Linked DNA regions of Mus musculus: regions 1 and 3 are each reported to be linked to region 2. The links are microRNA targets in miRTarBase. Many come from high-throughput screens and were not tested one by one. Region 2 holds a microRNA gene; each other region holds the end of a gene's coding sequence.
The links. The annotated mature microRNA mmu-miR-324-3p reads CCACUGCCCCAGGUGCUGCU and lies in region 2 at 2,592-2,611, opposite strand. An mRNA with a match to its seed (bases 2 to 7 or 8) in the 3' UTR can be bound and repressed. Matches are read on the target gene's strand: a 7mer-m8 pairs with bases 2 to 8, a 7mer-A1 pairs with bases 2 to 7 and ends in A, and an 8mer does both.

Region 1: miRTarBase lists Fndc5 as a target of mmu-miR-324-3p. The part of its 3' UTR that is shown has no 7-base or 8-base seed match.
Region 3: the mRNA of Susd6 is a reported target of mmu-miR-324-3p. Seed matches in the 3' UTR shown: 7mer-m8 at 4,041-4,047.

Annotation. Positions count from the first base shown.
Region 1 is chr4:129,141,225-129,148,224 of GRCm38, reverse strand. Fndc5 (fibronectin type III domain containing 5) reads right to left here. Exons shown (of 6, transcript NM_027402.4): 5 at 6,030-6,163; 6 at 3,632-5,690. The coding sequence ends at 5,685. S100pbp (S100P binding protein) reads left to right here. Exons shown (of 7, transcript NM_001379590.1): 7 at 1-223. Among named protein-coding and RNA genes, the nearest start is that of Fndc5, 7.7 kb to the right of the region's middle.
Region 2 is chr11:70,007,446-70,014,705 of GRCm38, reverse strand. Mir324 (microRNA 324) reads right to left here and starts at 2,663; the gene lies at 2,575-2,663. Dvl2 (dishevelled segment polarity protein 2) reads right to left here. Exons shown (of 15, transcript NM_007888.4): 10 at 7,186-7,253; 11 at 6,763-6,891; 12 at 6,555-6,686; 13 at 6,246-6,425; 14 at 5,711-5,929; 15 at 4,597-5,562. The coding sequence ends at 5,114. Acadvl (acyl-Coenzyme A dehydrogenase, very long chain) reads left to right here. Exons shown (of 20, transcript NM_017366.3): 4 at 3-75; 5 at 163-227; 6 at 327-461; 7 at 1,128-1,272; 8 at 1,405-1,534; 9 at 1,623-1,748; 10 at 2,060-2,258; 11 at 2,416-2,520; 12 at 2,936-3,022; 13 at 3,108-3,170; 14 at 3,260-3,361; 15 at 3,441-3,538; 16 at 3,628-3,700; 17 at 3,785-3,857; 3 more. The coding sequence ends at 4,410.
Region 3 is chr12:80,875,839-80,882,838 of GRCm38, reverse strand. Susd6 (sushi domain containing 6) reads right to left here. Exons shown (of 6, transcript NM_178682.4): 6 at 2,006-5,743. The coding sequence ends at 5,718. Among named protein-coding and RNA genes, the nearest start is that of Gm23298, 32 kb to the left of the region's middle.

The DNA of each region.
Region 1 (7,000 bases), not on the chromosome of region 2:
TGACAAAGCAAAGCTAAAATGTGTTGTTGATAAATAGTTCCTGTGTAGGTCAGGAGCCGAAATAACAATAGCTCTGCAGCTCATCGGGCTCTGATTTACTCGAGTTGTTGTCGGGGTCGATTATGAAACTGAAGTTTGGTGCCTCCTTTTTTATCATGTTTTTCCCCTTGTAGCAGTTGTGTTTAATGTCATTAAAAAGAAATAAAAGTTCTCGTCAGTGGCATATGTACTGTGGCCGTCTGTTCCGGGCTTTGGAGGAGCACTCTCTGCCTTCCTCTGCGTAGGTCGCTCTGCTTGGGAGGGTGGCGGCATTTAGTAGAATATGGTTCTGGGAAGGAGAAAGTGCTTGCTCCCTGTTCTTTTGAGGGTAAATTACAGTGCTGGGGAAGGCGTTCCAGCAGTTAAGAAATGTTGCAATTGATTAGGATTTGCAGCTACATATGGTGCATGTCAGGAGCCTGACATTGGGAGAGCCTGAAATATCCCTGTGCAGAGGGCGGGGGAGACCAGGCAGCCGGTAGCGGGCGGGAGGGCAGTGCCTTGCATTCCTTCCCTTCCCATGGATCCATGGCCGGCCACTGTGTATGTTTAGGAAACCATGCGGTTCCAGGGCATTCTCCCTTTGGAAACAGGAGAAACCAGAATTAGTCATTTGAAATTGGTGGGTGTTCTTTTTTTTTTTTTTTTAAGATTTATTTATTTATTTACTATATGTAAGTACACTGTAGCTGTCTTCAGACACTGCAGAAGAGGGCGTCAGATTTCATTACGGATGGTTGTGAGCCACCATGTGGTTGCTGGGATTTGAACTCTGCACCTTCGGAAGAGCAGTCGGCGCTGAAGCAGTCGGCGCTCTTAACCACTGAGCCATCTCGCCAGCCCCTGGTGGGTGTTCTTTTTTTTTTTTTTTTTTTTTTTTTTTAAAGATTTATTTATTGATTATATGTAAGTACACTGTAGCTGTCTTCAGACACTCCAGAAGAGGGAATCAGATCTCGTTATGGATGGTTGTGAGCCACCATGTGGTTGCTGGGATTTGAACTCTGGACCTTCGGAAGAGCAGTCGGGTGCTCTTACCCACTGAGCCATCTCACCAGCCCCCTGGTGGGTGTTCTTAACCCAACTTCTCCGGAAATTGTTGCTCCAAGAACAACTGTCCGGTGTGAAGATTGGATGTATGTGGGTAGATGCTGGAGAGAGAACCTTCTTTAAACCCCTTTATGGACCTAAGCCTCCTCAGAGCAAGGATATAAGGACAGCAATAATAGATTGTCACCTACATTAGCCAGTGCTCTTAAAATCCCAGCTCCTGCTGAGAAAATAGTAGCAACATACTTGGACAGGCTCTCTGACCTGCTGATCTTTACATTTTGTGGGTATTTTGAGACAGGATCTCACTATGAAACCCAGACTGGCTTCAAACTTAAGTCCTGCCTCCGTCTCCTGAAAGGAAGGAGATTACAGACAAGTGTTACCATGCCAAGTTTTGTCTGGAGTGTGTGTGTGTGTGTGTGTGTGTGTGTGTGTGTGTGTGTGTGTGTGTGTGTGTTTTCTAGACAAAGCCATTCTTTACTCTAGGCAAAAGCTTGCACAGAAATGTGGTAAACACTTAGCTGTTTGATATGCTTGTCTCAGTGTGTGGTTTTCTTAACCCGTGTATATGTAATGTTCCTGTCAAGTGTAGAGGACCTTTTGGTAACTACTTCCTGTTTGTGTCAGGGTTAGTTTTTACCATATATATCAAAGGTTTCAGAGACCAGGATGAATCCTCTGAAATGATGGTGTCTCATTCATCTTGTTAGAGAGAAGTTGGTAGAAAAAGGAGAAATGGACCAGGCTCATTCTCTGAGAAGCCCATCTTGAGCTTTTATAGGACGAGAAACTAAGGTCCTCCTCTTATTCCCTAAATAATCCAAAGGTTTGGAGGGAGGGGGAGGGGACAAGGGGGAGGGAGAGAGGGAGAGAGAGAGAGAGAGAGAGAGAGAGAGAGAGAGAGAGAGAGAATATGTGTGTGTGGGTACACTGGGGGCACCTGTCGGGTAAATATTTCCATTTGTCACAGAGGCAACTGGTCGATGTTGGAATTCCTTAATAAGTAAGCACTTGCCTTGTCATTCCAACCCATTTATTCCTCCCTAACAGCTGAGACACGCCGTAGATGGGAAATCTGGCCTTTCCTAGCACTCAGCCAGAAATAGGAGGAATATGACCTTTGGCAATTCAGTGACAATCCTGAAATGTATCCCCAGGTTACTATCTGAGATGTCCTTAACTTATTAACTTCAGGTTATATTTTCAAGTTTGGTTTTGTTTTTTGTTTTGTTTTGTTTTGTTTTTAATCTGTGGACTGGCCCTGGGGGTGGACAGAATTCTGTTTATAGAAGCAATACTTAAAACAAAATTTAGTAAGTAAATAAAGTATGTCTGAAGCCTCATTCATGTTTCCAATACCTGGCAGCCTTATCTCTTCGGCTTCCACCGAGGTTTCTAGGGCAGCCTTTAGTTAGTATACTGGGTAGGTAGGCTCCGGAAATCTGCATGCAGTATTGGTAGAAAGGAAGGCTACTCCCCCCTCAGAGAAGTGACTACCCGAGGTGTCAGGGTCTCCTGCCTTTCTATCCAGCATTCTTCCTGCAAGCCTGCTGTGGTCTTGGTCTCAGAGCTGCCTGGACCTTTCCCAAATTGCAAAAATCATTGGAGTCACCTGAAAGGAACAGAGGGACCACTTCTTAAATAATAGCTGTAGTATTTGATGGCAAGTAACAGTTGATTCAGGAAGAGTGAGATCCTTACTACAGGAGAAAGGACAAACCTCTAAGCTAGAAGGATAGTTATTCCCTTCGGATCCATTACGGTGTACCACGGGCATGGAGAAACTGGAAACCTTGCTCAAATAGCAGGATCTCCAGACACCACTACCTACCTCTACCCAGGGCCTCTCCGCGTCTTAGTTGAAAGCAGACGGGCAGAGGGAGCCTCTCTGGGGTCTGGTTTGGCATTCTGTCTGTTCAGGGACTTCTGAGGACTTCCTCTCCCTCTGCTTTCAGACCCTGCACATCTGACATCCTCTCGCCTGGCTCTGGACGGGAGTGTTTAAGGTGCCCTATTTACTGGTCTGCTCATTGGCTAATGGTGTCATTCCTCTGCCTGCCTTTCAACCTGCTGTTGGAATCTTAATGATGTTCCTTTAACAGCCCAGAAGAACGCAGAGCGAATACCGAATGATTTCTGCAGAAAGCTGCTTCTGCAGTTCTTCACTCCATACCCCCACCCCAGATGAGAACCTCAGCCCTCTGGCAGGAATAAGCGCCCAGCCCTCTCCTGAGAGGAAAACCCTTTGTTTTAAGAAACTGAGCAGATGCTTGCATACCTATGTGGTGAGGCAGCCCAAGCTGGGCTTAGAGAGGAGCCTCAGAAAGACGATGGTGGAGCAGCTATTTTCTTCTCCTACACGTGCACCCCCATCTGTTCGAGAATTCCCTTCCAACTCCAGCTTGGCTGGCTGGCATGTCCCTAAGAAGCTGCAGGCCAAAATGGAAGAGGACTGATTCCCTCCTCCACACATCCTGACTTGCTGCCAATTGCCAGAAAAAGAGGGCAACGTTTGGGCATTTACCAAAAGACAAGGATGTGCCTTTTCATTTGTCTTTATTTTACATTTAAAAAGTGGTTATTGCTCTAACTGGATTGGAGGTAAGGACCTCCCTTAAGGAGCCTTGGCCTTGCAGCCCCGTTCAGCAGGGATGGAAGTCACGAGACAATGAGTGGAACCTCATTCCCTCCCAGGAGGAAGCCCTTAGTATTGCTGACATCTGCCCTTATCCGTCCCTCCTCTCCTGTGCTACCCGCAGTTGGAGCGAGCACAGTGGTGGCTGACCCAGCTTGGAGAGCTGTTAGAGACCCGAATGAAGGGGCAGTCATTGGGTGATGGCTTTCAGCTCTCTGACTTGGGCACCTGTGCTCAACATTCAGTACCACAGATATTTTACCAAGCACCTACTATGTGCTGGGAACAGCCACCCACACTCCCTTGGCCACCGATGGAAGATACAGAGTTCGTTCGCCTTTCCAGTGCAGGCGTCTGGCAGCCACTGTGCTTCAGTCTCCAAGAAGTCTGCTGCCACATCAAGCACCTTTTTTTTTTTAAACCAGTAAGGGGCAGAGGAGAGGAGGGGGAGGGAGGGAGAGAGGGAGCACACTAGCTGTCACTTTACACTGCAAGCTCTAGGGAAGTAGATGAGAGCCCTGGGTAACTTTCAGAGGACCCTGAATGAGATGGCAAGATAGTGACAGTGGCTGCTCTCTGCTCTCTGCCTGTCTGGTGTAAACGGCTTTCCAGTAGCTCGCTCAGCAGTTCTTTATGCTGTAGGATGTAGGTGTTTTCAGTTATCCAAGCTGACACTGCTGCCCCAGCCAAGGCACTTCCTTTAAACGCGGGCAGTACCTTCTTCCAGAGCTTCTTAAAACTCCACACAGATGATCTCACCACAAAGATCTATCTTTGTGCAAGCTAGATGCAAGCAGACATGGAGGCCTTGGCAGAGCGGTCTGCATTCTGGAGCAAAGCCCTCCAGTGGTGTTTTCCAAGAGTCCAAACAACTGGCATCATACACATTTGCAAAGGTGCACCTTGTACCACAGATGTCCTTAGTGGCTGAATCCAGAAAGTGTCTGACAGAGTCAGGACCCTTGAAAAGCTGGCAGCACTGCAGCCTCCCTGGTACCATTGGTCTGACAGACACAGTTCCAGATAGTCTTGGTAGCTGCTTTCTCCCAGAGCTTTGTGCATTTTCTCAAAGAGGAAGCCAGTCCAGGAGAAGTAAGGCAGGACTCTCCCATGTACTTGTGCCTTCTTCAGAATGGGGCGCAGTCTTTTAGCTTTGTGGCTTATTTGATTTTTTTTTTTTTTTTTTTTTTTTTTTTTTTGCAGAATTTGGGTTTGTAGTTCAACCTCCTCTGTCAGACTAAGGTAGGGAAAAGGAAAAACTGTGGCTAGCTGTGCCCCCACCGCTTCTACAGCTCTCACCCCGTGCCCAGGAAGGACACAGGGACTAGCGGAGGATGAAGCCCATCCCTTGCAGATGGGGGTACCCATGCTTTGATGATGTTCACAGAGGGCTTCTTTGGAAACCAGGAAGGGAACAGATAAGAGAAGTGTCCAGAGCCGGTTGAATGGATTTCATGTAAGGTAGGAAATGGGACAGAGGAGAAAAGGAACAGCGGGGCTGCAGCTTAAAAGCCAGACTCTTGTCCCTCGCAGAAATAAAAAGAATAGCCCTGCCTGGAAGTCTCGTCTTTCTCCCCTTTCACACACAGCCTTCGGTCAAGCTGAGTGGCCCAGATGTGAGTCCTGTGCCAAGAGCCTTGGCACTCAGTCTACCCCGCAGCAATGGCATCCCTCCGGCTGGGTCTCTCTCATTCTGCAGCTCTGTCTCTGGGTGTAGCTTCAGCCATGGACATTGCTGAGGTACTCCTGGAGCTAGGGGTTAGTGAGAGGCTTCAGGAACTGATATCAGAAAGAGAGAAGCCAAGAGAGAGGATAATAAGCCCGATGATAGGAGAAGATGGAGGTGGGAGGAGCCGCAGAGCGGGCCAGATGCATGTTGGACAATCACCGTCAGAAGGTCCTCTCGCATTCTCTACTGTCTTCTGAGCTGCTCAGAGCAAGCACTGTAAATGTGTCATCATATCTGGTTTCATAGAAGAGGAAGTGAAGGAACAGAGGTAAGACACTGCCCCAGGCCATGTCACCCCTTCTCCTGCTGACCCAACCACAGCAACCAGGAACTCTGCCTTTCCCATTGGCTGTCTTAAAAAAAAAAAAAAAAAAAAGACACTGGCCCTTGGCACTCCGCAAAAGGCAAGGATCCAAAATCAATTTGCAGTGTCCCCTGTGTCACACCGGCAGCAGCCAAGCTTGGCTTTGCCCAGCTGCTGCCACGCCAGGTCCTGAGCTGACCCCTTCCCTTGTGCAGTCTAGGGACTACAGATGTCTAAGGACACCCACCAAGCCAAGGTGTTCCCCTCACCTTGCTGCGGAGGAGACCCCCACCCTGATGCTCCGGTGTGCTGGTTTCTGATGCGCTCTTGGTTTTCTCCTTGTTGTTATTGGGCTCGTTGTCCTTGATGATATCATACTGGCGGCAGAAGAGAGCTATAACACCTAAGGAGTTAGGCAGGGGCAGTCTGAGTTCTCGCCTTGCCTGCCAGATCCCTTCTAGGGCTCACTGCCATCCCCGAATGGCCTCTGCCTTGCTGCTGCAGCCTCCCTCCAGCCTCTGGCTCCTTTTCCCCCCTACCTGGCCCCCAGCCACCCCTATCATTGCTGCTGGGCTGGTTCCCCCACAGCATGAATCTGATCATGCCTTCCTGTTACCCTTTCTTTAAGCCTCTGACAGCTACCACAGAAATTATCACGGCATTTACTGAGCACATGCCAGGCCCTGTGCTGTGCACTGACGTAGCCAATCTCACTTGATCCTCACAACTCCAGCCTATTATTATCAGTCCCAGGGTACAAAGGGAGCACACTGGTGTGACAGTTTCCTTAACTCAAGGTCATGCCACGGTGCGGCTAGGAGGTGTCGAGCAGAACCTGCTTGCTGTCTACTATCAGCCCAGGAAGGTGGTTAGTATTCACACTGCTAACTCCAGTTCGCGGTGTGTACCGCTTCTTTCTCGATCCTTGCTGGATAGCTCTCCGCTTTCCACCATAGTAGATAAAGCCCAACAGCTCCTACTTTTCTCTCTAACATCCTAACAGACTCCCGTTGCAAGTTTGGGTTAGTTCTTTGTTTATAGTGTTATGATTACATAAACACAGTCCATGCCGAGTCTAATAATGTACCATACTTAACCCCCCTTTCCATAGAACCCTGTCATCCTGCCTTTTCTCGAGTGCCTGTTCTATGTGCCTCAGAAACCCTTCTCCCTGCCCCAAGTGCGTCTTCAACAGAATCTGCCTTCAAACACCACGGTAATCAGGCTTGAGCGTGGTGTT
Region 2 (7,260 bases):
AGGAATCGAAGTCCTTTGCTGTGGGGATGTTCAAAGGCCAGCTTACCATTGATCAGGTGTTCCCATACCCATCTGGTAAGTAAAGGCTTAGTCAGTCACTGACAGTGTGGGCAGGGGAGCCCTCTCTGCCTGACTAGCCTGCTCTTCTCTCCCATTATACAGTGCTCAGTGAAGAACAGGCACAATTTCTCAAAGAGCTGGTGGGACCAGTGGCCCGGTTCTTTGAGGTAAGGGATGACCAGAGCTCAGCCCCTCCTGGGCTAAGTAAGATGCTAAGGAGCTTAAAGGAGCCTCTGAATATGAGATTCTTCCTATTCCTTGCTCAGGAAGTGAATGACCCTGCCAAGAACGACGCCTTGGAGAAGGTGGAGGACGACACTTTGCAGGGACTCAAGGAACTGGGGGCATTTGGCCTGCAAGTACCCAGCGAGCTGGGTGGTTTGGGCCTCTCTAATACCCAGGTGAGAGGATCCCCCTGGTTAACATTCCACAGTGCTCCAGTTTTGGTAGACTCACCACTAGGGCCAAGCAAGTAGCCAGAGTAGTGTCTACCTGCCTGCCCTTTTTCTCACACATTTTCCCCTGAAACATGATCTGTGTGCAGCCCACTAGGACCGTGGACCTAACTGTGGTTCCCAGGTCTTTGGGGACTGTGTGAGGCAACACAGCAGGCAACCTTCCCATCAAGACCAAGGGCAGCTGGGCACAGTGGCACTCATCTTTAATCCCAGCATGGAGGATGGAGGCAGAGGCGGGCGGATCTCGAGTTCAAGGCCAGCATGGTCTACAGAGGGAGTTTCAGGACAGTCAGGGAAACCCACAAAGTTTCAGGCTAGCTGGAGCTACAAAATGAAACTGCCTCAAAAGGGGGGGGGGGGATTATCTAAGCCCTTTGATGTTCCTGCTCCTGTCTCCTTAGGAAAGACTCCAGGGTTTCATGCTAGAGAAGCAGCCTACCTGGGAGCCCCATGGCCAGCCTCCCTGTGCCCTGTCCAAACCCACTCCACTCCCCATGCTCAGAGTAGAGATGCTCCAAGCCCCAGGCCAGGTCTGCCCTGCTGCCCATTCTTGTTGAGGACAAGTTCAGTGCAGCCAGCTACAATCCCAGATGCCTCCTTTCCCTCCAGTATGCTCGCTTGGCAGAGATTGTGGGCATGCATGACCTTGGTGTTAGCGTTACCCTGGGAGCTCATCAGAGCATCGGTTTCAAAGGCATCTTGCTCTATGGCACAAAGGCCCAGAGAGAAAAATACCTTCCCAGAGTGGCATCTGGTAAGGCAACCTTAAGAGACCCAGGGGTAAGGAGTGTGACACTGCTCACGGTGTTACAAGGAACTGCCTGGGGATGAGGGGGTGCAACTCTGGTGGTCAGGATCCCCAGTGAGCCCGTTCTCTCCCCCACAGGGCAGGCTTTGGCTGCTTTCTGCCTAACAGAGCCCTCGAGTGGATCCGATGTAGCCTCCATCCGAAGCTCAGCCATACCCAGCCCCTGTGGAAAATATTACACTCTCAATGGGAGCAAGATCTGGATCAGGCAATCTTCCGTTTCTCTTCTACCCTTCAGCCCAGTGGCCTGACCCTGCTGCTCTAAACCCTATACTAACCACCTCACTCTTCCACAGTAATGGGGGCCTGGCTGACATTTTCACTGTCTTTGCCAAGACGCCAATTAAAGATGCAGCCACGGGGGCCGTGAAAGAGAAGATCACAGCTTTTGTAGTGGAAAGGAGCTTCGGAGGGGTTACCCAGTGAGTATGGGGCAAAACAGAATCAAGGATGGGGACAGCACTGGGCTCTCAAGAGCAAATAGTCAATACAGGCCACGCTGGGGCTATCTCTGTACAAGAGGCACCCACAGGAGGTGAGCAGTTTTGTTTCCACTGGGGGAACACAGGCTAACAGGCCATAGCTAGATATCCGTAGCCCCTGGGGCACATAGGCAGTGCCCTGTATCCTTTTTATAGTCTGGGGAGTTCTCCCCTGATCATGAGACCCGAAAAGGCCGTTTTCCCCCACAGCAACCTGTTCATACCTCAACTTTCCTGCCCTGCCTTTTCAGTGGGCTCCCTGAAAAGAAGATGGGCATCAAAGCATCTAACACGTCAGAGGTGTACTTTGATGGAGTGAAGGTGCCATCAGAGAATGTGCTAGGAGAGGTGGGAGATGGCTTCAAGGTTGCTGTCAACATCCTCAACAACGGAAGATTCGGGATGGCTGCAACCCTCGCAGGCACCATGAAATCCCTCATTGCCAAGGCGGTGAGTCCCAGCCCAGTCCCTAGCTAGCACATGTCCCTGACTGCCTCAGAGCGCCGACACACACACATGCACACTCGACCATCGGCACAGTTAGGCCTCCAGCCCGTCCAGGTGGAAACTGAAGAACCACAGTGGGGTAACATGCGCCCTCTTGCAGGTTGATCATGCTACTAATCGTACCCAGTTTGGGGACAAAATTCACAACTTTGGGGTGATCCAGGAAAAGCTGGCTCGGATGGCTATTCTGCAGTATGTGACTGAGGTAAGGGCCTCCTGGGCCCCTTCCCTGGAGCCCTATGGCTTTCTTCACAGTTGGGTCAGACTACAACCCCCAGCAGCACCTGGGGCAGTGGGTCTCCAGCTTTACACCAATGCCCTAGGGGATGCGAGGAGGCATAGTCAGTTCTCTTCTGGAGGGTGGTGCTGCTCTGCTAAATGCTGCCCAGATGCACCAAACACGACTTTTAACCCACCCCTTTACAAAGTCGGAAGCCTCGAAGCCCCTGATATACCAGAGGGTCACATATTGGACATATTTGACCTGACCAGGAGGCTAAAGTGAATTCAAGGGTTGGAGGAGTAGATCAGCACTGGTCTTGAAGGTCTGAGCATTAGCCATTCTGTCTGATGCAGCCCTTCCCTGTTGTCTTCCCCATGTCCCGACCATGCTCCCTTAGTCCATGGCTTACATGCTGAGTGCCAACATGGACCAGGGATTCAAAGACTTCCAGATAGAAGCCGCCATCAGCAAAATCTTTTGCTCGGTGAGGACCCAGGTGTGATGGGAGGGCGGAGTCCAGATTAGGACCTCAGCTCAAAAATCCAACTCATCTGGTTCTCTGTCCTCAGGAGGCGGCCTGGAAAGTGGCAGATGAGTGCATCCAAATAATGGGGGGCATGGGCTTCATGAAGGTACAGAGTATTCCTCGGCAGGGGGGGGCATCTGTTCAGAGTGGACAGGCACATCTCAACAGAGGTTTCTGTGTCTTCCTGCGTGCCAGGAACCAGGGGTGGAGCGTGTGCTCCGAGATATTCGAATCTTCCGGATCTTTGAAGGGGCAAATGACATTCTTCGACTGTTTGTGGCTCTGCAAGGCTGTATGGTAAGAGGAAGGAGGATGAGAGAGAGCAGCTGGGGAGGACACTGAGTCCTCACTGTCGCCGTCCCCCTTCTCTCCACAGGACAAAGGAAAGGAACTCACTGGGCTGGGCAATGCCCTGAAGAATCCTTTTGGAAACGTTGGCCTCCTGATGGGAGAAGCAGGCAAACAGCTGAGACGGTACCTCATGGGCCGGGGCCAGGGTCAGAGTCAGGGTCAAACAAGATGGGAGGCCGCAACTGACCAGTCACTCTTCCATCTCCTCTCAGGAGGACAGGAATCGGCAGTGGTTTGAGTCTGTCAGGGATTGTCCACCCAGAGTTAAGTCGCAGTGGTGAACTGGTGAGTGAGCCTTAAAGCAGAGCCTGCGGTGGCTGTGCGCTGCCTTCCTCTCCTGAGCTCTGTCTGTGACTCTTGTCTCTTCAGGCAGTGCAGGCTCTGGATCAATTTGCCACCGTGGTGGAGGCCAAGCTGGTGAAACACAAGAAAGGGATTGTCAGTGAGTGAGCTCTGCAACCCCCTTCCCTCCCTGATTCCCTCCCTCCGACTAACAGCCCCACCCTCATCTACCTGACAGACGAGCAGTTCCTGCTGCAGCGACTGGCGGACGGCGCCATTGACCTCTATGCCATGGTGGTGGTTCTGTCCAGGTAAGGCGGCAGCGAGGGACGCTTGGCAGGCTAGAGCCACAGAGGAGCTGGGCCAACACCAGCACTCAGGATCATTTTAACCTCTGTTTCCTCACAGAGCCTCAAGGTCCCTGAGTGAGGGCTACCCGACGGCACAGCATGAGAAAATGCTCTGTGATAGCTGGTGCATTGAGGTGAGCCTTGGAGCTCCCCAGTACAGGTGGGCCTTGGAGCTCCCCAGTACAGGACGGCCTGACCGTCCCTCCCCTTCCCTCTCCCCAGGCTGCAACTCGGATCCGAGAAAACATGGCCAGTCTGCAGTCCAGCCCTCAGCATCAGGAGCTCTTCCGGAACTTCAGAAGCATCTCCAAGGCCATGGTGGAGAATGGTGGCCTGGTCACCGGTAACCCCCTGGGAATCTGAGACTCCCAATCAGGCCCTGGCAAGGTCATGTGCCTTCTCTGATGCCAAAACCCTTTATGGGGGTGATGGAGTACTTATTGCCTTAACAATAAATTTTCTACCAAGTCACTGTCTGCCGTGAATGTCACTGCTCCCTCCTCTCCACTGCCTGCCTCGCAAAGAAAGGAGCCAGAGGCTTGGGGAGTTGGCCTCTATTTGCTTTATTTGGTGTTTTGTACAAGTGACTAAAATAAATAGAGTAACAAAGGCAGCTACACAGTCCCCAACACACCACCAGCCTCCTTGGACTGCTGTCTGGGGTACCCAGCCCACACCTTCTTCTTCCCAGGGTACCACTGACCACCACCCACCCTCAACATGAGAGCTGACTAGGCACCTGGAGGTGGCGGTCATATTCTGGGGTTAGAAGGGATTCTCCATATAAAAGAGGAACTGTCTATTTAAAAAAATACTCCCCCAAATATAAGAAAGTCTATTTTAACCCCCCAAAAAGCTTATAAAAAATAAAGCTAAAAATAACCAAAGGTCCCCATCTACCCCCGAGGAAGAGGGGGAAGGACCAGGCACTGCTGGTGAGAGTCACAGTGGCAAAAACGTTTTGGTAGGCACCAGCCGCCAGGCTGAGCCCAGGCACTATGAAGGGCACCAGGCTGAAACTTGCCAGGCCAAGGGCACAGACCCAATGTGGCCTCAAGATGGGTCCCTACATAACATCCACAAAAAACTCACTGGGGTTGCCCATGGCCATGTGGAAGCTCTGACGGCTAGCTGTCAGTTCTGGGGGCACGGAGCCCAGGTCTCTGACTGGAGGGGCACCAGGGGGCTGCACTGCTGTGGAGACAGGGGGTGGGGGTGGAGGCATCATAACTACCATCATGGGGTTATAGGGGAGAGCCATGCCAGATGGGGCTCCATAGGGATGGAGCCCGGGAAGAGCTCGGAGATTAGGAGGAGCGCCTGTCGAGCCCCTGGATGGAGGAGGGCCGCCATCACCAGTCCCACCAGGCTCCCCACCCCGCCGAAGGCTGCCTCCCCGGCTGGAGAGTTCTGACTCACTGCCACTGCCGGACTTGGACTCAGGGGCCCGTTCCTCAGGCCTGCCTGTGCGCCCAGCCCCCCCATCGCTTCTTGTCGACCCGCTGCTCCGGCTCCCTGTTGGAGGGCAGAGGTGACGAGGAAAATGAAGCTCAGCCCAGAGTCCTCAGGATCCCAGTCCCTGCTCTTGCCTCTCCTCCCCGAATCCGCTCTACTTGTGCCCACTTTCTCTGGCTGTACTGGTACGTGGGAGTGGGTCACTTACCCTCACTGTGCTGGCTGCTGGCACTGCCTCCACCATAGGTGTACGAAGAAAGCTCGTGGTAGGGTGGAGGCTGGGGGCTGTAGGGGTGTGGCGCTGGATACTGGTAGGAGAAGGTGGGCAGCAGGGGCCAGGGAGTAGCTCCAGGCAGAGGTGCCAGGGTATCCTGGTCTGAAGCCCCACTGGAACCGTCATTGTCATTCAGAGAGAGGTTAACTAGGTCTGGAAAAAAATGGAAGAGAGGTCCCTGCTTTAGGAGGCCAGGATTCCTGAGAACAGAGAAACCTGAGCCATTTCCCCAGAGCTCCCCACGAGACAAAAGCCAGAGACCATGATGGCTTACAACAGGAAACTCTGCTGCTCTGGCAGAGAAACAGCCAGGACTCTCACCAATAGCCCCAAAATGCTTTTGTGAGCCCCGTGCAGCACTCTTTCCCTTGGGGATGCAGCTCAGGTACCTCGCTTACTCAGCAGTACTACTCAGCAGTACCGGGGCACACATCAGCCTGAGCTCCTACAGCCAGACCTGCTGACTTACAACTCTCACAGCCACCACTGAGGTCCCCGAAGACATAATAGCACTGCTCAGAGAAAGTAATCTTGTTGACGGTGTGCCGGATGAGTCCCGCCTTCAACAGCCCACTGGCATACTTGCGGGCCTCCCGGCGCTCAGGAAAACCTTCCACGTGATGGTACAGCCAGTCCACCACATCGGAGCCTGGGATCCAGCACAGCAAACAGGTCAGACTCTCCTCCCAGCTCCTCCCCTCCCCTCCACCTTGTGTTGTGCCCAGCTTTGGCCTCCTCCCCACCTTCCCATGCCACCTTGCTCAGGGCCTGGGAATACCTAGAAAGGCGTTTGGGATGGTGATCTTGAGCCACATGCGGTCCCGGACTTCGAGCCCAGACTCTGGGGCTGCCATGGCCTTGGTGACAGAGGCCATGTCCATGTGGACAGAGAGACCCCGGCCTTCGCAGCCTGATAGGAGAGACCACGGAGAACTTACGAAAGGTCCCTCACACACCCAGGGAGGCGGGAAAGGAGAGAGACTCACCATCAGGCAGAGAGGAGCCAGATGTGATAGTGCTCATAGATGAGGAGCCAGGGTAAGCAGGGAAGGCGCCAGTCAGCGCAGCCGAGTGCGACACCCAGGCGGCTGGGTCGATGGGCTGGATGGGCTCATCTAGGACAAGAGTAACGTGAAACACCAAGATGATTGCTGCTCAAGCCTGGAAAACTAGGCCTGTGTGTTCCAGAATTAGGAGTTCTGTCTACCCCCATCCCTTGGCCCTCCTGAACACATTCCCTACAACTTCCAGCTTTTCTCATCTCTTTTTGGGCTTGTTTGGTTGAGGCAGGGTTTCACCCTGTAGCCCAGGCTGGCCTCATCCATCTAGAGATCCTCCCGCCTTAACCTCCCAAGTGCCCACGCTCCCCAGATCTCCTAACTCCAGACCCCAGCCCCAGCATCACTCACTTCGAGGGAGGGTGAAGTAGGCCTGGGGAGACGGGTCCCAACACTTGGCCACGGTCAGCACGATGGGGCTGTGGG
Region 3 (7,000 bases), not on the chromosome of region 2:
CTCCATAGAAACTCTGTTGCTGTATTTTGAGTTTGACTCTTTCAAACACATCTCCACCACACCTAAGTTCCTGTCTTCTTTGTCTTGTGATCTGTTCTCCATTATCACTTAATCAATCAGTCTATCTACTTATCTACCATCATTAGTATTTTTTTTTTCTTTCCGAGACAGGGTTTCTCTGTGTAGCCCTGGCTGTCCTGGAACTCACTCTGTAGACCAGGGTGGCCTCAAACCCAGAAATCCACCTGCCTCTGCCTTGGCCTCCCAAGTGTTAGGATTAAAGGTGTGCGCCACAACTGCCCCGCTTGTCATTAGTATTTCACTATGCATCCCCGGCTGGCCTGGAATTTGCTATGTAGGTCAGAGATCTGTGTGCACCACCACTCCCAATTGTTTTTAATTCAGTCCTCACTGCCTTCTTCCTTAAATACATCTTTCCTTGTGGTGCTAGGGTTCAAACTTCTGAGGCCTTTGATGATGCCAGGGAAGTGCTGTTCCATTGACCTACATACCTCTCCCCCCTTTTAATGGCAGGGTCTCACTGTAGTCATGGCTGGCCTTGAACCCCCAATCTTGCTTCTGCTTCTGAAGGGTGACATTAAAGGCATACAACACACTCCTGGTCTTCCTACAGTTCTGTCTAGCTTTCCTCTGTACTGCTGGCAGTGATCTGTGTACCCCTGAGATGTGTTTCCCCCTGCATCCAGTCACCTAACAGCTCTGTGTTAAAAGTACTGACTGAATTTACCAACTTCTATCCCAACAGCCATCTTCCTAGAGATCCTATTGTCATCCACCCAGCTCACTAGGGTCTTATATCCCTACATCCATCCTTTAGATGCAGTCAGAGTCCATCCCCTAACCCCTTCAATTTTAGTTAATGCTATGGCATTAACTGAGACCTGCCAAGGTGATGTCCATGCCCATAGGGTGTGCAAACATCCCTAGTGGGCTGTGGAGACTCCCCATTCTCCATATTACCTCCTTGTGGTCCAAGTCACTGTCTCCTCAAATTCAGGAGCAAGTTCTTTCTCTCTCCTTTTTCCTTTTTCCACTGCCTAGTATGCAACTTTCTATACTGCATGTACCATACACACGCGCTGTCCTTTGTGCCCAGACACAGACTGCACCATGCTCAGCCTGTCTAGGCTCATGGTACCGGTCCTTCACACACCTAGCTGTGTTTCATCTGAAGGCTTGGAATGCCCCATCCCATCTTCTTCTAGGTTCCAGATTATATCAATCATGATGCACTTGTTAATTGTCTCCCCTCCTGGCCCAACTGACATTCTACATTAGCCCAACCATATTAGGATCAGATGCTCAAGTGTTTGGCACCCCGAGAGGAAAGCAGTTGATCAAGAGACAATGGTTTTCTACTGGTGATAGTTGGTAGTCCTTCTCCCAGGTCACCCTCCCTCTGCACTGCCCTCAATGATCTGTGCACCCCCAAGATGGCCCCTGATCCAATCAATCACCCAACTGTCGGTTCTATGTTCTTAATGAGCACTTTCTGAATCTGTCCCGTCTCCATACCTGCCAAGCAGCCTCTTCAGACCTAGAGCATCCTCTAGTCATGAGCTCTTGCCTGCTTCCACTCTTTGTGTGTGTACAGTGTATGTGTGTGGATACACAAGCAGAGGCCAAAGGATGGCACTCTATTGCTGTCCAACTTTATCTTTTCCTGAATAAGGACTATGAACCTGGAGCTAATTATGGAGGCTGGCTGGCCAGCAAATTCCTGAGTCTGTCCTCATTTCAGGAACATACCACCACACCCAGCGATTTGTGTGAGTTCTGGGGATACGAACTCAGGTCCTCACGCTTGCAAACACTCTACCAACTGAGCCGCCTCTCTCCTCCTCTTCCTTCTGTGGTGCTGGAGACTGAACCTAGGGTCTCACACATGCCAAGCTAGCACATATAGCCTTAACCCCAACACCTACTCTCTTCAATCATCTAGAGTTCTGAAAAACTATTTTTGGGAAGGACTACATCTCACATCTGCCTTCATAAGAATTTTTATTATTATTTAGAAATGCAGTTATATACATAGAACAATTAAAATTAAATTAAACTTTGTACAAATATTAAAATACTATCTTCATACCCACTGCAATGTACAGGATACCAAAAAATATATATATAAAATAAAATAAAGCAAACCCAGATTGATTGACATCCTGCACAGTCAATTAAGCATGTGTTGTTTAAACCATTTTATGAGTACCATTCTGCAAAGGATCCCATAGTGGTGCACAGCCTTAAGAAGCCAGGCCAGTGTGGATACAGCCATGCAACCCTCAACTACTTCCTCTCCCTACTTGGCAATCCAAGTGCTCTACTCTGCACCCTCATGGTGAGCTCTGCTGCTGGGTGAAGGACGGGTGGGGTGGGGTGCGCTTTGTTCAAACTCTACTAGGTTTTCAACTGCCTAGTAAAATGCCAAGTAAAATATTCTCTAAGGCTGCAGGAGACCCAGCAGGCCCCACAGAGAAGGCTCTAGCTGTACTGTCAGGCGCAAGCATACCTGGAATGAAGCTGTGTGGTAGGCATGCTGTGTGTCCCTTCTTTGTTCTTTAAGGAGGGGGAAGGGAGGAAGGATCTAGAAATGTTTGCAGCATATTCCATTTTCTATGCTAGAATGTTCCTCAGAACAGAGGAGATATTGTTATGCAGGAAGCCAAGTGACTCAAGAGCTCTGATAGGACTGGGAGGAAAAAGGCCAACTGCCATCTATCCCAACTTGGCCACTCTCAAAGCAGGAAAAATATACCTTTGTCTGTCTTGTAGCCTGGCTTCTTTACAGAACTGTAAAGCTGGGGGTGCAAGGAGGGCAGGATGAATGGGGAAGACAGTATGACTTTAAGTTCTCTTTGCAAATGGAGTGCTTGAAGAATGTACATTGAAATGCCTTATAAAACCAAACGAACCCACAAAGTGGTCAGGACTCCGCCCATTTCACAGTTCTCACACAAAACACAGAACTGGGCAGGTAGAGCTCACCTGTTAAACTAAGGCATGGAAGGACGGAATTTTCTATTTATTTATTTCATCATTCTGGCCCTTGAAAACTGATAGAATGTGACAGCAAGTCACCAGGATATAAAACCTGCATTGAGTCAGTGTAAGTATGAAAAAGCAAAAACATCTCCCAAACCAAAAAACCCTGTGTAAAAGTCCTTTGGTGCTGACTGCCTCTTTTGGACAAGTCTCAGGATGTCCCTGGAGGTGAGCCCAGTAAAGTAGGCTGCTTAGTTTCTTCCCACTTGCTCGAAGCTTCTTCCTGCCCATCCGCCTGCCACCTGCCACTGACCCTGTTTCTAGCAGGCTCCACTTCAAGGCAATTAAGTCCCCAGTCCGTCTGTAATGGACAAAGCCCAGATGCCCCAGAAACCACAGCACATGGCTAATGGTTAAGAAATTGCTGTAGAAGAAAACAATGCAGGAAGAAGCCACAGATGCCAGCAACAGGTGTGAGACCTCAAGAACAGACCTTCTAAAAGCCTGTGACAAGAGGATGGGGAACACGGGTGCCCTTTATCCTTCAGTTAGGCAAGCCTGGGCCTGTGATTTCCCCACAGCAGGCTAATGAATGCTGAGAGAAAACGAGGCACCAGGAGGTTCTTTTTCCCAAGGCCAAAGCCAGGCACCTACAAGGCTAAATAATAAGCCAAAGAAGTGCAATCTGTAAGGGGCAAAAGCCCAGGGTAACGACACAGAACTAAAACAGAACTCAGATTTTAGAAGAGCAGTAAGCAAAAGAGGCAGGCCCATTCAGAAGACTCGTGTTCCTTGCCCAGTTCTCCCTTGAGGGGGGTGGACACCACTGAAGCTGAAGAAGCGCCATGGTGAGGTGGCTTGGGGCCTTGGAACCCACCCCCAGGTAAGCCTATGGCAGCACCTGCTAGGGGTGTTCTAGTCGTCTAGTCTAAGCACCTTTTCCAGCTCATTCCTCAGCCAACCATACTTGTCTGGACACTGGGCACACTGGACTGGCCTCCTGGGTTAGTGTGGGAGTGGCCAGCAGGGACAGCAGACACTGCCCTTACCCTGAGAGGAGATGAGGGTGTCAGGAAGCCAGGCATGACAGGGACTAAAGTGCATTGTGAATGGAGGCAGTTGGCTAGGAGAAGTTATTCCCCTATTTTTGAGGCCACAGATGCCTGGAGCTAACCCTGTTGTGTCAGGAACTATAAATATACTGGGCTTTTATTATTTTTACCACCCCAGAGAGGCTCATCACAGGTTCAGTCCAGGACTGGCTCTGAAGAGTTTCCCAGCCCCAAGGCTTGAGGAGGAGAAAGAAGAAGAAGAAGAAGAGGAAGAAAAGGAAGAAAGGAAGAAAGATGAGAAGAAAAAAAAAAAACACACACATTCCTTGATACCACATCTGTCTTCTCAAGATGGTAGAAGCCTGGTGGGGCTCAGTTACCCAGACTTGTCAGCATTCAGTACAGGGCAATAGGAGGCTGGAAATGGCTGGAGCATTTCTTCTAGGCTAGTACGTTCCCACTCCCAGGACCTGTATCTCAGGTTTCTGGGTGCCCACCATCTCTATCAGCTGGCAGGGAAAATAAGGAGTGGCTTTTCAACGATGACGTGTGGAAAGGCAGGGAGGAGAGAACAGAGTGGGAGCAGTGGCACAGCAGGCCACTTCCTGGGCACAGTTACTAAGGCACATGACCGTGGTGAGGAGGATCCTCAGGACCTGCCGGAGCTGCCTGCAGCCACCGGGGACTTGGTCTGTACCTATCAGCCTCCCCTCCATCACCACAAACCTAAAAAGGGGCAACTTGCCCAGACTGCCAAAAGCCAGATGAGCTTTTGTTGGCATCTCAGCAAATCTCAGGATTCTGTGGGCTGCAAGGAAGCCAGAGCTACCTAGGACAAAGTCCAGGAAACAGCATGCAACTTCCCCTTATCCAGGAACAGAAACCAAGGCCAAGGCAGCCAGTGCTGGAAGCAGGAAGTGAGAACTTGAGTATTAGGAAGACAATCATTATCTGACACCTTTCCTCCTTCCCACAGGTCTTCTGGGTGCTTCTTAGAAACTCTCAAAAGAGCCAGGAACCTGCACGAGAGCTGGTCAGCGAGTGCTGGGTGGCTTTGGCATGACTTCCCAAACCTCTGTCCTCAGTTAAGGAAGATGCCGCCATCAGTGTCAACACACAGGGCAAGCTCAGGGACCCACATTCTGGACCCAGCATGAGCTATTCCTGCTTTGAGTGCCTTACTACTCTTCAATCTGTTTCTGCAGCCTCAGGCCTGGCCCCCGGGTACAGGTGGCAGTAGCCACTAAGGCCTGTGGATAGCAACCCACCTGCACAACAGGGAACCTGGACAGGGTGGGGAAGGCACAAGTAAACACAGCAGTGCTCAGGCCCTCATGGCTGCGGGGCTGCCACCAAGAGCTGGCTGGAAGGGACCCAGAGGCTGAGGGGAAGGGGAGGTTCAATCCAGCGCATTCAGACACATCCCTGACAGACAGATGGGAAGGCTGGGCCAGGCAAAGGGCCAGGTCCTCCAGCTGTCCAGTGGGCAGATGGTGAGAATCTTTCTTGAGTATCCATCGAGGTGGCCTGCAGGCTCTCAGGTACACAGAGATACACAGGTGGCAGTTCAGGCATCCAGGTGGGGCAGCTAGAGAGGACATGGTACTCAAACCCACAGGAAGAGAGAGGACGGGCAGAGAGGACAGAGGCCAGCGGCAGCCCTCATGCTTCTTTCAATAGTGGGATATCTGTAGAGACAGGGAGGGAAGTACAGCAGTTACCTAAGGGTGTCTCTCAGTATCTCTTCCAACTCCACCCTAGAGAGTCCCAAACAGCGCTCATTTAAAGAAATAAAACGTTCTGCTGTACATGTCTAAGCTAGTCAAATTTTCCTGCTTTCTATTTCTGGCCTTTCTGCTTCTATTCTCCCACTGCCTGTACGATAAAATCCCAATGCTAAGCCTGGTATCCAAACACCTTCTGGTCCCACCAACATAACCCTGATTCTGTTCTCTGCTGGTCTAGTAACTTTTGATTCTTTTCTAACCTTGCTCTAAGAAGTTTCAAAGTTCTCTTTAAGTTCTACCTTTTTAAAAAAGCTACCTGTCATCTGTGTGAACCTGGACAAATCATTTTGGACCAAACCAGTGGGTTTTGGTCTTCTCATGTCACCAGAGGGGAGAAGTGCTAGACCCATGCTTTAAGATCTGGAATCTGTCTTAACAACACTGGTGTCCTCATCATGGCATGAGTTCAATTTCTTTTCATTATTGTACTTTTAAAAACTTCATTATATATTTATCATTCCTTTTAACATGTGTACATCCACACACTACAGGAACTACTTGATGACGTGCATCTATACCTGCAGGTCAGAGAACAACTTCTGGGAGTCAGCTCTCCCATTCTACCATGTGGGGACTGGGGACCAAATTCAGATCATCAGGCTTGGTAGCAAGCGCCTCTCTCTGCTGAGTCATCTTGCTGGCCTTATTTCTGTATTTGAGAGCCGGGGTCTGTGCAGTCCAAACTACCCTTGACTGTGGTCCTTGTCTTAACCTCTGAAATGCTGACTGCAGGCCTGAGGCACCATATCTGGCTAGCACCACAATTATTGATTCCATTATTTCTCTAGTGCAGGCCTCACTGACTTTCCTACTGATACTCCTTGCAACAGAGAGAGTACTTCCTATTTGCATCAGATCTGAAACCTCATCCAGCACCAAACACAAGATATGGCTTTCAAAAAGTTTTGCTCAGACCAGGTGTAATGGAACATACTTTTAATTCCAGCAGAATACTTTTAATTAGAGGCAGAAGCAGAGCAATCTCTGGGAGTTTTGAGACCAGTTCTCATTTACACAGTGAGTTTCAGATAGCCAAGGTTACACAGTAACACCTGCAATCAGCCACTTGTGGCTAGGGTAACAGGATAGTAGTCTCTGAGCCAGCCTGGGCTATGCAGGAGCCCTGACTCTGAAAACATCAACATCATCAACAACTAC